Linked DNA regions of Schizosaccharomyces pombe. The gene in region 3 interacts genetically with the main gene of each other region. Each region holds a gene or a part of one and is shown on either strand. Other genes may lie near its edges.

Evidence for each region. A genetic interaction does not mean that the proteins touch.
Region 1: mutations in spn1 (region 3) and gmh4 together harm fitness less than expected from each alone (positive genetic interaction), as found in Schizosaccharomyces pombe (one large-scale study listed by BioGRID).
Region 2: mutations in spn1 (region 3) and elp4 together harm fitness more than expected from each alone (negative genetic interaction), as found in Schizosaccharomyces pombe (one large-scale study listed by BioGRID).

Annotation. Positions count from the first base shown.
Region 1 is NC_003423.3:1,387,505-1,392,284, forward strand, and holds gmh4 (alpha-1,2-galactosyltransferase Gmh4), read left to right. Parts: upstream 1-2,031; 5' UTR 2,032-2,678; coding exon 2,679-3,589; intron 3,590-3,642; coding exon 3,643-3,718; 3' UTR 3,719-4,162; downstream 4,163-4,780. Other genes in the region: SPOM_SPBC8D2.16C (uncharacterized protein), read right to left, coding at 243-1,064, 1,108-1,233; SPOM_SPBC8D2.18C (adenosylhomocysteinase), read right to left, coding at 4,163-4,780.
Region 2 is NC_003421.2:1,462,369-1,466,184, forward strand, and holds elp4 (elongator complex subunit Elp4), read right to left. Parts: upstream 2,023-3,816; 5' UTR 1,971-2,022; coding exon 885-1,970; 3' UTR 618-884; downstream 1-617. Other genes in the region: translation initiation factor eIF2B alpha subunit Gcn3, read right to left, coding at 2,405-2,693, 2,790-3,232, 3,288-3,427, 3,485-3,638. UniProt on the Schizosaccharomyces pombe protein: Component of the elongator complex, a multiprotein complex which is required for multiple tRNA modifications, including mcm5U (5-methoxycarbonylmethyl uridine), mcm5s2U (5-methoxycarbonylmethyl-2-thiouridine), and ncm5U (5-carbamoylmethyl uridine).
Region 3 is NC_003424.3:4,851,218-4,855,858, reverse strand, and holds spn1 (mitotic septin Spn1), read right to left. Parts: upstream 2,820-4,641; 5' UTR 2,774-2,819; coding exon 2,594-2,773; exon of another isoform or gene 2,557-2,593; coding exon 1,960-2,556; intron 1,915-1,959; coding exon 1,282-1,914; 3' UTR 660-1,281; downstream 1-659. Other genes in the region: kinetochore protein fta1, read right to left, coding at 1-316; mannan polymerase complex subunit Mnn9, read left to right, coding at 4,538-4,641. UniProt on the Schizosaccharomyces pombe protein: Plays a role in the cell cycle. Involved in a late stage of septum formation leading to the separation of the daughter cells.

The DNA.
Region 1 (4,780 bases), on a different chromosome or scaffold from region 3:
CCCTTTTTTGCATTGACTCGAATCATCTTTTAAATTTTTTTATTCTTTATTTCAACAATACACTCTTAGATATAATTTTAATCATAATAATTCTCGTCTTAGTTTCTAATATCGTCTTTATACCCAAGTTATCCTTATAATTTATCATATTCAAAATTGATTTTGTTTTCCTTGATTAGCGAGACAGCTTTATAATATTTAAGTAAGAAAAAGACAGCTTCACCTTTGTAAGTATTTAGGCTTTATCGTCGTCCATGCATCAGCAACATATCTGACAAACGGGTCATGGCCGCCAAAAGTATCTCTTCAGGAATGGGATCATTTAGAAAAGAAACTGGGAATGGGTTAAAAGAAATACTTTTGGCAGTGGAGTCTACGAGCTCTTTTTGTACGACATTGTCTTGTAAAACAAGAACAGCATGCCGAAACGAACTTGGTAAACTCGCTTCTAACTCTTTTGAAGTAATAGCTGAAGTCTGACTGTTGATTTGAACAACAAAGTCATATCCACCTTTGTAAGGAGAACTTTTACACAGCTGAGAAGAAAGACATGACCGCACCTTGTAACCCCAATAATGACCACCTTTTTCTCGTGGAGCTGAAAAAGACACGATATCACCTTGAAGCTGGCCTTCTTCGTTTGGAGACTGCGCTTTTAATCGAACCGTGACCCTTGTTCTAGGAGCAAGGACGCTGGGGCTGGAAACGATTACATTGTGAGATAGTCCAGCATTTATAATATATTTATTCTTTGCTTGCGGAGATGGATGAGTAACGATTCCCTCTCGGTATGGGAATTCAATATTCACTGTGCTAGCCTTGTCATTTCTGAGGGGAAGTAATGGAAAGCAGCTAGTATATTTTAGATGTGGATTTAGTGGAAACAATTCCTTCCTCATAAAGAAAGGCGTTTCGAAATAGCATAATAAGTCCGTGAGAAATTTTGTGGGATCCTTTAAATAAGCATCAGAGGAAAGTGTATGTACCTGGGTGTTTTGCACATATTCAGGGTCCTCTAGCAAAATAATTTCGTCAATACCATATAGAGAAACTATTCTCGAAATCTATATTTTGAGTTAATACGCGACAACAACGAATCTTTCAAACCTTCCAGACAAAACTCGTTTTAAGCTGCAAATTGTATGCTACATTTAGACTTGAAATAGGTAATGCTAAAGATATCGTATATCGTCTCGTTGGTGGTAAGCTTTGTATTTCGCTTTCTTTTTCCATAGCAGTTTCTGTAAGCAATTAATGAGAAGTAATAATATGGCCCAAGTAGCAGTATTTTATTTACTTTTTGCTGTCTTGGGAAACAGAATATTAGGATTTGGCTTTTTATAAAAATTTTAACGTCTTAAAAAGTTGGTGAAGAGTAAAGGCATGAATTTCATTTACCAGGCTAAAAACCGTCCATTTAATATAATTAAACTAATTTTAAATTTTTTTTGAAGTATTGATCAAGGTAAAGGGATATTTTATATCAATACTTTTATTGATAGGTAAAAAAAAAAATCCTGTACTTCATAAACAATGAAAAAAATTCAAACAAACAAATGTGTTTAATGCCATTCAATGAGTGCGATTTAAACTATCAATGAGTCTTCGTAAATACCAAAGGGCTATAGAATCCCCTTTTTTTTTTTTTTTTTTTTTCTTTATATGGAAATAATAAAAAAAATGGTGTACACTTTGCTTGCAATTTATATAAACCAACTATACACGCCGAAGCTTGTATATAACCGCTGTAAAAATTTGTTAGTAGAAAAAACAAGATGATATTTTATTAATTACATACATAATTTTTTAAGTCAATAGAAGTTCATCGACTCTGATTCAATTCATCTTCAATCTTACTCTATTTACTATTTACTTTTATGATTTTCGCTATATAATGAGTAGCACCGGGTATAACGCTATAACAGTTTAAAGTATAATTTCAATATCACTAAAAAAATCTAAAAACACGTTAGAGTACGTTAGGTAGGATGCATCGTACACGTTAATCAAAATCCTTCGAATGTCGAACACGCAGACTACAAATACAGCCAAGTTGCTGCCAATTATAAAAGCAACGTTTCTCTGCTCTTAGTACGTGGTTGGGTGGATCCTGATTTCTGTAAAAATCATATTCAATATCAATAACCAGTCCATCTTGACTCGTAGTCTTTGAAACGGTGTAAAAGGATTGTTGTCAGGATAAGCTATAATCTATTGTTGTTTAAATTGTAGAATCTTCCTCTTTTTTAAATATCGCCGATATAGCTTGACAAAAAGGCTCATTTTGAAAGCTAGGCGTTGTGTTCTCGCAAGGTTTCTTTCATTATCCGGTTTTTCGTATTTCTTAGTGAAAACGCCCTCTGTAACATCTTTACTGTTTTAATTTTCGGATATACTCGCGTATATATCGTTGGATCATTTATTTGCATTTAAAAAAGGGCCATATATATTCCATTTTCTTTACGACCCAGATCTTTATACCTTTTTTTCTCTTCTCTATTTATACCTTCTCGATTTACAGATATTCTCTTACCTTCTTTTCTACATTATTTGCACATTTAAAAAACCCCTAAGGTTTATTCTTTTAAACCGTTATCTTGTTCCATAGACGCGCATAACCAACTCATTTTTTCTCGCAAACTGTTTGTTTTGCACTTTTTTACTTTGTATTCTGCAAGATGTTCAACTTTCGTTTATTTTCTCGTAGAGGAAAAAGTTTAGGTCTCTTGGCCATCGTTTTATTGCTTTTTGGCTTTTATTCTTTAAAGTCTTCAATGCCTGTTTATTCCAATTCGATTGGTTCTCCCAGTGCCCATTCCTCTTCATACAAAGGTGTTTCTAAGGCGAAAACATCTCCACAAGATCCTGATTCCGTAGTCATGTTGATTGTTAGTTTTGACGACCATTATGATTCAAGTAGATCTGACTCCAGCTCTGTCTTCCTGGATAAAGTGCTTTCTGATCGTACAGAGTATGCCTTGCGTCATGGCTATACCCTAGTCCACAAGAAAGCCCGCGATATTCAAGCGAGGTATGGTGTCTATGGTACTTGGAGTATTATCCCAGCTTTGAGGGAAACTTTGGCTGAGTATCCCGACGCTGGCTGGATATGGTTGCTCGATGCAAAGGCTGTTATAATGAATCCTTCCGAATCTCTCAAGGATAGGGTCTTGAAACCAGAAAAACTGTCGCAGCATTTGCTTCTTAATTCTCCGATCGATCCATTAAAGAACTACATCCGTACACGCCGTAAAATGGATCCATCTGATGTATTTGTAATTACCACCAGTGATTATAATGGAATTAGTACGCGTTCTTTGCTTATTAAAAATAACAACTTTGCGCCATTTCTTTTAGATGCTTGGAATGAACCTTTGTTGAAATCCGCCGGTTTTGATCAAGCTGAGCGATCTGCGCTATCCCACTTATTGGAAGCACATAACACTATCTTGGATCATGTTGCACTTGTGTCTCCTAAAGTTTTAAATTCATACACCAACTCTGCGGTCGATTTGAATTACGAAGAAGGTGATTTCTTGGTTATTCTTCAGGACTGTGAGAACGCTGCTGCATGCGAGCGTATATTCGAGTATGTATTCTATTTATCATCTTGGTCTCTTGTATTTTTACTAACACTTCCAGCAACTACTATCAACAGAGAAAACTTCCAGCCATTAAAAAGCAGCTTTCGGAAGAAACGGTTGATGAACAATCGTAGGTTAGTACTGTCTTAGCATCTTACTTTCATTTCCAGTAACTCATCTTCATCTAAACCTATCTTTCAAATTCGGTGGTTTGCATATTCCTACATTAATTTAATGAATTTATACTTAATTTCCTTTGTTTGATCAAGGGAAGATATGTTTTTCGTTTACGGAAATACATCGCAGATTGGTTTACAAGTCAAGCAATTCATATGTTATATTCATCAAATCTTCTTAATGAAAGCACGTTAATTGCTATTCTATGCAAAGAAAGAAACATTTATTATGTTTGACCTGAAATCCACATAAACCCAGTTGAATAACATTAATGCATTTCATGGCGACATAGAGACATAGATGCTGTTGAAACATCACTCATGCAAAAAAAAGAGGCTGAAACATTTTTAAAGTAATTATAACTTCAAAATAAATTCTATAAACTAAATGATAAGAATAGATTAGTAACGATAGTGATCAGCCTTGTAAGGACCGTCAACAGGGATACCCAAGTAGTCGGATTGAACAGAAGTCAAAGTAGTAAGTTTGACACCGAGTTTACCCAAATGAAGACGGGCAACCTCCTCATCCAACTTCTTGGGAAGCATATGAACACCAAGAGGATAGCTGGTGTTATCGGTCCACAAAGCGATTTGGGCAAGGACCTGGTTAGTGAAAGAGCAGGACATAACAAAAGAGGGATGTCCGGTGGCACAACCAAGGTTAACGAGACGACCATCAGCTAAAAGAATGATATGACGACCGTTCTTCAATTCATAACGATCAACCTGGGGCTTGATGTTAACAACATCCTTAGCGTTAGCCTTCAACCAAGCGACATCGATCTCGACATCAAAATGACCAATGTTACAAACGATAGAGTCCTCCTTCATTTCGTTGAAGTGCTCACCACGAATAATGTCACGGCAACCAGTGGTGGTAACAAAGATTTGACCTTCCTTAACAGCCTCTTCCATAGTGGTGACTTCGAAACCGTCCATAGCGGCTTGAAGGGCATTGATGGGATCGACTTCAGTGACAATGACACGGGCACCTTGGCTACGAAGAGAAGTTGAACA
Region 2 (3,816 bases), on a different chromosome or scaffold from region 3:
ACTATGGCGATGTGAACAATTTCAATATGGCATATGTTCCCAAGATATACATCAATAAAATTCAGTTAAATATATGTATCTGTCTTATCAATGAACCTCTATTTAACTTAATTGAAACATTGAATGAACGTTTGTAGTGGATTATGAACATTCAACTCAATGTTTAACAACTAGCGAATGTATAGGTAGCACATTTTTAGGTGGTAAATCACTATATAGTGAACTCTGTCAAAATGCAAAAAAAGTAAATTGAGACGAATTTAAGGACCCATTCATACGGACTATTGGAATAATCACATTAATTTTGGTCACTTGACTTAAAAGATAATGCGACTAGAATTAAAGAGAAAAATCGAATACGCGAAAACTTTTTGATTTGTCTCTTTAATTTGCTTAGATGTCAAATACTGTTAGTACCAACAGATTGACAATGTTTTGATAACAATCATCAACAATTTACTTCAGAACTGTTTTAATAGAGAAAATAATTGTATCCTTCAAATTTCAACGGTTTAACACTGTTTAAGATTTAAAATGTCATTTACTTACAAGTATTTCATGCACTTTGCTTTAAGATCACAGTAACGGTTCTTCGTAGAGATATTTGACGGCTTTCAGTTCGCATTCTATATTAACTTGTGTTTTAAAGTTTTGATTGAGAGAACGTTTATCCCATTTGACGAACATTTAGATAATTGATCAGTTATCTAGACGGGAGAAATGAAAAATATTTAAACTCGTATGAACAATAAATAACACAAATGCAATGCATCCAAAAAAAATTATAAAATCCATTTACAAACCATAACCATATCACATAACACGAAAACGAGTAGAATTTTAATCCAATTCAATACTCAGAAACTTAGAGGTTTTTTAATTGTCTAAAAATCCAAAGATTTAACAGGCTGTTTTTGAGGATTCGTGTTTGAAATCTTCGTATCCTTTTGCTCATCATCCAGTGGAGGAAGGACCCATGGTTCAATGGTAAATCTTCTTTTCGATACAGTAAATGAGAGGTCTCCAGCTTCATTAGAGTTTGCATGATTGGTAAATGGAAGTGCTAAGGGAAGCTTATGGATACGGAAAAGTCCTAATGGTTGTGTAACTAAACCGTTAACAGTTTCTTTGACCGGGAAAGGATGCAAAGAGAATACGGCGGATGCAAGGTTTTCTAGCCAAAAAATTTGCTCGCAATCTCTTGAAAACAAAGTAGAAGGAACTGAACACATACATATCAAGTGCACCGAAGTAGTGCATTTGATGAGCGATGAAAGTGTGTGAATAAATCTTATGAAATGCTGCGGATGAGTAGCACGGATAGAATAGAAGGCTGGGGACAAAATGGATGGAAGAACTAACCTGCATACCGTACCTGGAGTCAGAGTAGATAAGAATCTCGTTAGACTTTCAATGACAGGGGCGTAAGGATTAGACCCTGTTTCCAAAGGGAATGGAGAAACAGCGTATTTCATATCGCTTTTCACTATCAAATTCTTTGACAAATCAAAGGAGTGAGTATAGCCAGGAGGAATCATATCAAGGGTCGGTGCCTTGGTTTTGGAGACTTGTTCATACCTCCAGGCAATTTTCATTCTTTCTTGCTGGGGATTTTTAGAGGGAGGAGAAGAATGATTATCCTCTCCAGCTGAATTTTCGTTTTTATTAGGCCGGTCGCTGTCGCCTGGAAGTTGACGAAACCACATCTCTCCAATAGATGGACCAAGCCAAATAACATGGTCCTGTTTAAGGCCTTCCGCTGCAAAAAATTTAAGTAGCACAGAAGCATAATCCATCGAATCTTCCTCTATAACCAGCAAACTTTTCATTGGAATGCCGCCAGACAAATAGTAGTCAAAAGAAGAACTCCCAGAGCTTGTAATCCATCTAGCATCCTTTGAAGATAGTCTAACGCCTGTCGGCAAGTTTGTTGGTGCTATTTGAGGTGCTGCTTTCCTTTTGAACGACATCAATACTTATTTCGATTGGTGTACGTGGAATAGCAAATTGGATGGAAAGGTTAACGCGACGCAAATTTGCAGCACACATTTAAGCATCATCAGTCAGAAAACAAAGAAATTCAGCGTTGCGATTGAGAAAATAAAAAATTGTTGACTAAAGTTAATCATTCAATAAAAATACCTTTTAGATAAATTTTGTTGAACTAATAATAAAATTTCACTAGTGGGCGCATTGAAACAAAAATAATATTGTAATACTACAAAATAACATAGAAAATGTTACGTCGTACAGTCAATTAGCATGATCGGAAAATGTATTACTGTTGTATTTTTGAAGATTACTTTCAATCCGAATCTAGTTGGACAAGACTTATGAGAAATTTAAGTCAACTCAAAGTACAATCTATTCATATTTTATTTTTAAGATCAGGAGAATCTGATTGCTAAAGATACAATTTAATTAGCTCTTCGCTTACCCCACTCTTCGAATCAATGATCCCTAAATCGGTAATGAGACCTGAGACAAATTCGGGTGGTGTAACATCCAAAGTAGGATTATTTCGAATTTGTTCTTCATTCATGATCAGCTCGTTATGAATAGCATCTGATGGAGTTGGAATTGGTTCAGGTTCAGGATGAACAGTTTCAGGAGATGGATCATCAAATTCCAGAATAGGACGACTAAAGGGAATATCATATTGAGAAAGGGGAAACATACGCACGAATTTATGACTAAAAAACGTTAGTACAAATTTTAAAATTAACAGGGAAATGGAGAGATCATAGGGAAAAATAATTGTAAGCTGAATGGATTCAACGTTTACGTACCTTTCTGCAACTGCGTAAAAGGGCTTATGTGCATGTTTGGCAAAAACGGCAAGTTGGAAAGTACCGATTTGATTAATGAGTCCTCCGTTTTCGACAACACCTTCTGCGCCAACCAAGACCAAATCTACACGGTTCATAGTAAAGCTTACAGCGGAATCCAAAACCATGCAAGTAGGAATACAAGCATTTTTTAATGTTCTCGTCATTAGACAGCCTGAGCCGCTAGGTCTTGATTCTGTGACAAAAACTTTGAAACGAACGTGACGCTTGGCAGCAGCCAAAAGAACAGCCGCAACACCGCGTGAAAACCCATGGGTAAGAATAACACTACCATCTCGAATAAGAGGGTAACCTAAATGTGCAATTCTTTGTCGACAAGCACGAGCACGCTGAATAAAGAGTTTTCCATTTTCTACCAAGTGACGTTTGCATTGCTCAAAATCCTAAAGCCGTGGAGAATTAGTAAAGAAAAGAAAACTACTTTGCATCAACACATACCCCGACATCGTGTAGTGATCGAGTGACAAACCGTTGGAAAATGTCACAACCAGCTGAAAGCGAAATGTTGTTTTGAACGCCTTCCTTCAGCGTATTTGAGCCATTTTGTAAAATGTCCATAAATTCTGAAATTGTCTTGGCTAATAGAAAAACATCAGTAAATTCATTTCTCACATGAGTACTACAAATTAACATACCTTGAGAGCGCGACAAAAGCTGGACTAAAGCCTCAATGGCGGCTACAGGCATCGTGATTTCTGGATCATCTTGCAAAAATTTTTTGTAAACCTGGACGATGTCAAATTCTCCTTGAGAATGTCGAACGATTCCCGAAGAATCCGATTCCACCATATTCGCAGATGCTAGACGCTCTTGCTTAGTAGCAACATCTTTTCCATACTTTAAGGATATCCAACAAAATCAAATAACGGGCAATGCCTTTTTGTATTAAATTGTAAGCTACGCAATTTGGTATCTGATTTAAGGATACGTAGAACTGCGGTGAGTTTTCCTTGTGATCTATTATATT
Region 3 (4,641 bases):
GAAATGACTCGAAGAAAAACATCTGGCCTTTGCGTTTCACCTCTAAATCACTAGACGTCTCATACGAAATATCCAGCTTTAAAAATTTAGGGAAACTAGATGTGTTTCCGAACTCCGTAAACGTAGCTTTCTCAATTATCAAGTCAGCAAACCTAGTACTATTTGTAAAGTAACCAGTACGATCAGTACCATAGCGAAGAAATCTCGTAAGCTTTTTACCTATTTCAGTCAAGTTTGAATATTCAAACCCAAACAAAGGAGACAATCGATATGCGGTGTATGTTACATTATAAAAATGGTGATCCCTTAAAGTCATAGTCAGCCTGAGCTAACACTTCAAAACGCTCTAATGATTTTGTTTCTGCTAGCGATTTTTGGGATCATTAATTAAAGTACTTAAAAAAACGTTATGAGTTATTAACTACATTGACCTTCATCAAATTAATGAAATATGTAGAGGTTGCTACCTTTTTTACTAATCGCTATGTATCATTATATAAGTCACCGTTCAAATAATAATAAAGAAACTTGAGTATCAACATTTTTTACAATTAAAGATACTGGTGGCATATATGTAAATATAAATTTCATTTATTTACTAATACTTACAAAGAAAGAGAAGCTCATAATGATCCTTCAAATATTTCAAATTGGCCAAGTAACTTTGTTCTAATACCCCGCTAAATTTATCGTTCGAAATAAACATTTTGTACAGTGGTAAATAGTATTCAAGCAAGTAAACGTATTTAGCATCAAACCGATCTTTGTATTGAATGACTTACAACAAATCTCATATTTACTATTCTATAACACCGAGAAGGTATCAATTGCAACAGTGTTTTTCGTTTAACCGAACAAAAATTATGCAAAAACTAAAGTCTAAAAACGACGTCGCAAGCAAATCTCTTCTAATAATATATGCATCAAAATTTTTTCGACTCTTTCAACTGAAATCTAGCTGTCTAAATACCCCCACTGACTGGAAAATAGATATTTTTCGATAGATTGAAAAATACACTGGCAATAAAAGAAGCAAACTCCCACTTTAACGGGTTGAATAGAGATAAGCCGGCTGTTTCAATTTGTTTGTTCAAGCAAAATGTCAATTAGTGAACCTCCTAAAAAAGAAAATTTCGATAAAAATTAACGACTCCATATGGTAGAATAATCAAGGAAAGATATACAGCCCAATATTGGACTTTAAGTAGTAATTAAATAACAAAGAAGGAGATAGCAGTAGAACTGCGGTGTCATACAAATAAATATCAGCTAGTAAGGAGACTATTTAAAAAACTTCCTTTTACTCTTCTCATTTTCGGCCGCAGCTTTAGCTTGCATTAACCGATTTTTGTGATCAATTAAGTCAGCTTTTTGCTTCTCCAATGCTGCCTTCATTTCGCGATGACGGGTACGTAACTCGTTTTCAGATTGTTTAAGACGATCTTCTTTTTCTTGAACCTTCTGAGAAAAAATGGTTTTCATTTCTGCTTCCATTTTCATCAATTTCTCTTCGTGTAAGGCACGCTCCTCTTCGAGTTTAGCACTAGGGTTGACTTCACGAAAAACGGAGTGATCTTGTGATATTCCGCTGCTAAGCAACCGTTCAGTACGATACGCTTCATACAGCTTATTTGTCTGTTCTTTGAGTTCTTCTAAGTGTGTTCGAATAAGCATTTCACGAAGCTTAGGGAAATCAGAATGCTCTTCATTATCGACTTCAACAACGCCCCATGGGTACCGCCTCCCGCGGACGCGCTTTCCTTCATTGTTGACCACGAATGTATTAGAAGCAATTATAGCAAAAGGTATTCTACTCATGATGTCTGCATTTTCTGCCACTGATTCAGGATCATCGGTCTCATATGTCGGAGGGAAGAAAATTCTGATATTGTGGTATTGGATATCTCTCAAAATCTATCATTTTTTCATTAGCAACTTTAAATCAAGATTAGGGCTTACCATTTCCTTCGTAAAGTTAAGTTCATCATCCGTTAGTGTATCGGCTTTCGCAATGATGGGTATAATATTTACTTTCTCGTGCAAAGCCAACATAACTCGAAGCTCCATAGCACTTATAGCATGACCAGTAGGCTGAATAAAAAATATACAAGCATGAACTCTTGGATCTTGAATAGTAGATCGAGGATTGTGCTTTTCAAGCTCAAGATATTGATCATAGCGACCCTCGATATCTGTCAAAACTGGTTGCCAACAATCGGTGTTGTCAATAAAATCGCCAAAACCGGGTGTATCAATTACATTTAATTGAAGACTGATACCATTTTCCACTATTTCAACTGCAGAAGAGTTGATCATAACAGTGGGTTCTGGGTTCACTCCAAAATCCCCAGTTAAAGATTTCTGGGTCGGTGGGTAAACATCTCTATTCAATAGCGTATTCACAAGTGTAGATTTCCCTGAACCGCTTTCCCCTAATACTAATACGTTGAAATTAAAACCTTGACGAACACAACGACGATGCCATTGATTAGGAAGACTAGCGAATCCAACGTATCCGTTCAACTGACGCTGGATTATACTAACGTGCGGATTGAACTAAATATTAGTAAAGGAATTTTAAATAATTGATTACCTCTTGTTCAGAATTATCCTGAATGGGTTTTTCTTCATTCTTGTTTTCTGAAATGGCTGCCTCAACATTTATTTGCGTTACATTATCTGTAGATGTGAAAGAATCAACGTCGGAACCCCTGCTTCTAGTGGAATCATCTTTAACTGTAGGCATACCATCCGCGAGTACCATTGACGCCATGTCAGAAATTATCGAAAACCCCCGTGTTGGTGGTTATGTATGTGATGAAGAGTGTAGCTAGGAGCTCGAGCATGAACATCTATTTGCTCAAGTAGGAAATTAAACTTAACCAATTTTTTTCTTAATTATGTTTCACGAAATTATAGAGCTTTTTTGAAATTTCTTAATTCACTGTCGCGTCGAATTTAGGTCCTTAACCTCGAAATATACACGGCTGGGATGCATTAAATAAAAAGATACTAAACATTGTTATTCCATTGTTTTAGTTGTCTTGTTAATTTTACAATTATTTTTTTTAACAATTGGATAAATCTAATGAATTAAAATTATCCATTATCTGTATTTGTTTAAAAACATTTTTTGACCTTTTATTTATACCTAAATTATTTGTTTGAATACCCTTTCAGCATGCAATCATCTAAATCTTTTGAATTTAATTTAAAATATTTATTTTTCTATTAATATAGAACCTTGGGCAGTAGTCGTTGAATTGAGCATTAATGCAAATCCAATTTATTGCACAACTGATTATTTATTCAATTGAACTTGTACGTCGACAATGTGACCCTCAACGATTTTAAAGATTTAATTATTAGACATAAAACACAGTTAGAAATTATTGCCTGGCCAACATTTTCATGCTAATAGATGATTCAGAAACAAATATCTATATTTCTTTTCCTACGAAAAAGTAAGATCAAACTAAAACATTAGAAGCTTGTTTACCGTATATTTTTGATCTTAAAGGACTTTTAAGATAAATTTGAACTTATTATAAATAATAAAATGTTAAAAAAAAATTTAACATAATAGGATCATTTTTACTAATTAAATAACGATTATATTAGTCTTTATAACAGCGTTTACAGTCTCCGAATTGCAGTATAAGCTCTAAAACTCAATTGAATAAAGGCATTTAATAGTCAATCATTGTTTTGTTTTCCTTCTAGCTATTTCAGCTCTTCTTGCTATCAAAGCACGGAATGACTTAACGCGGTGTTGTGTGGCTGGTATCAGAGAAAGAATAACTCCAGTAAAGGTACGCAAGCAATCCCAGTATGTCGTCGTTAAAACTATGAATATAATATGTCAAAAATTAATGTGAAAAGACGTTAATCAACACAATATAGAAGTACGTGTCTTATATTAAGAAATCGAAATATCTATAATTGAATTTAATAACGAAATCTTGCGTGACTACGCTATTAATTCTAGTTGTTATGAATACAGATGGGATCAAGGTAACTGGTATTCACCTCCTTTTCGACGTAACCAGAGCCACACATTATACTGGACAAAGGCGTTCTCTGGCGGCGGAATCGAACCAATATATAAGAAAACACTCAAATTCTGGGTTTATTGGAGGAAATTTTTTATTTTAAAAACAGTTTCTTTTACTCGAAAAAGCGTTTTTAATACTTCTTTCTTTGGCTTTGTTTTTACTCGATAGGGGCAAAACCTGTACAAGCTTGATTCGTGAACGTACGACATAATCCTTTGTTTGTATTAATGCTTAAATTATCTTAAGTATTTATTAACGGGGTATTCACTAGTTGAAATACATTTATATATATAAGGTGTTACTTTCGCGACTACAGCTGTTAGCCGTTGCTTTTTTAAGGAATTCGCATAATTATTTAAGAACTCGATTCTGTTTAGACCCACAAAACAACATCCAGATTCGGGTTGATTTTAATTTTTAACTCTCTATTTTTATTACTCTTATTAAATTGTGCCCTTCCATTTTTATTTATAAACTTTAAGATGCGCGTGTACAATAAATCTAGAATTGTAGGGCAGCTCCTTTTTGTGGCCCTCGGTATTACTTTCATCTATTACCTATTTACTCCATCTGTCAATTCAAATGC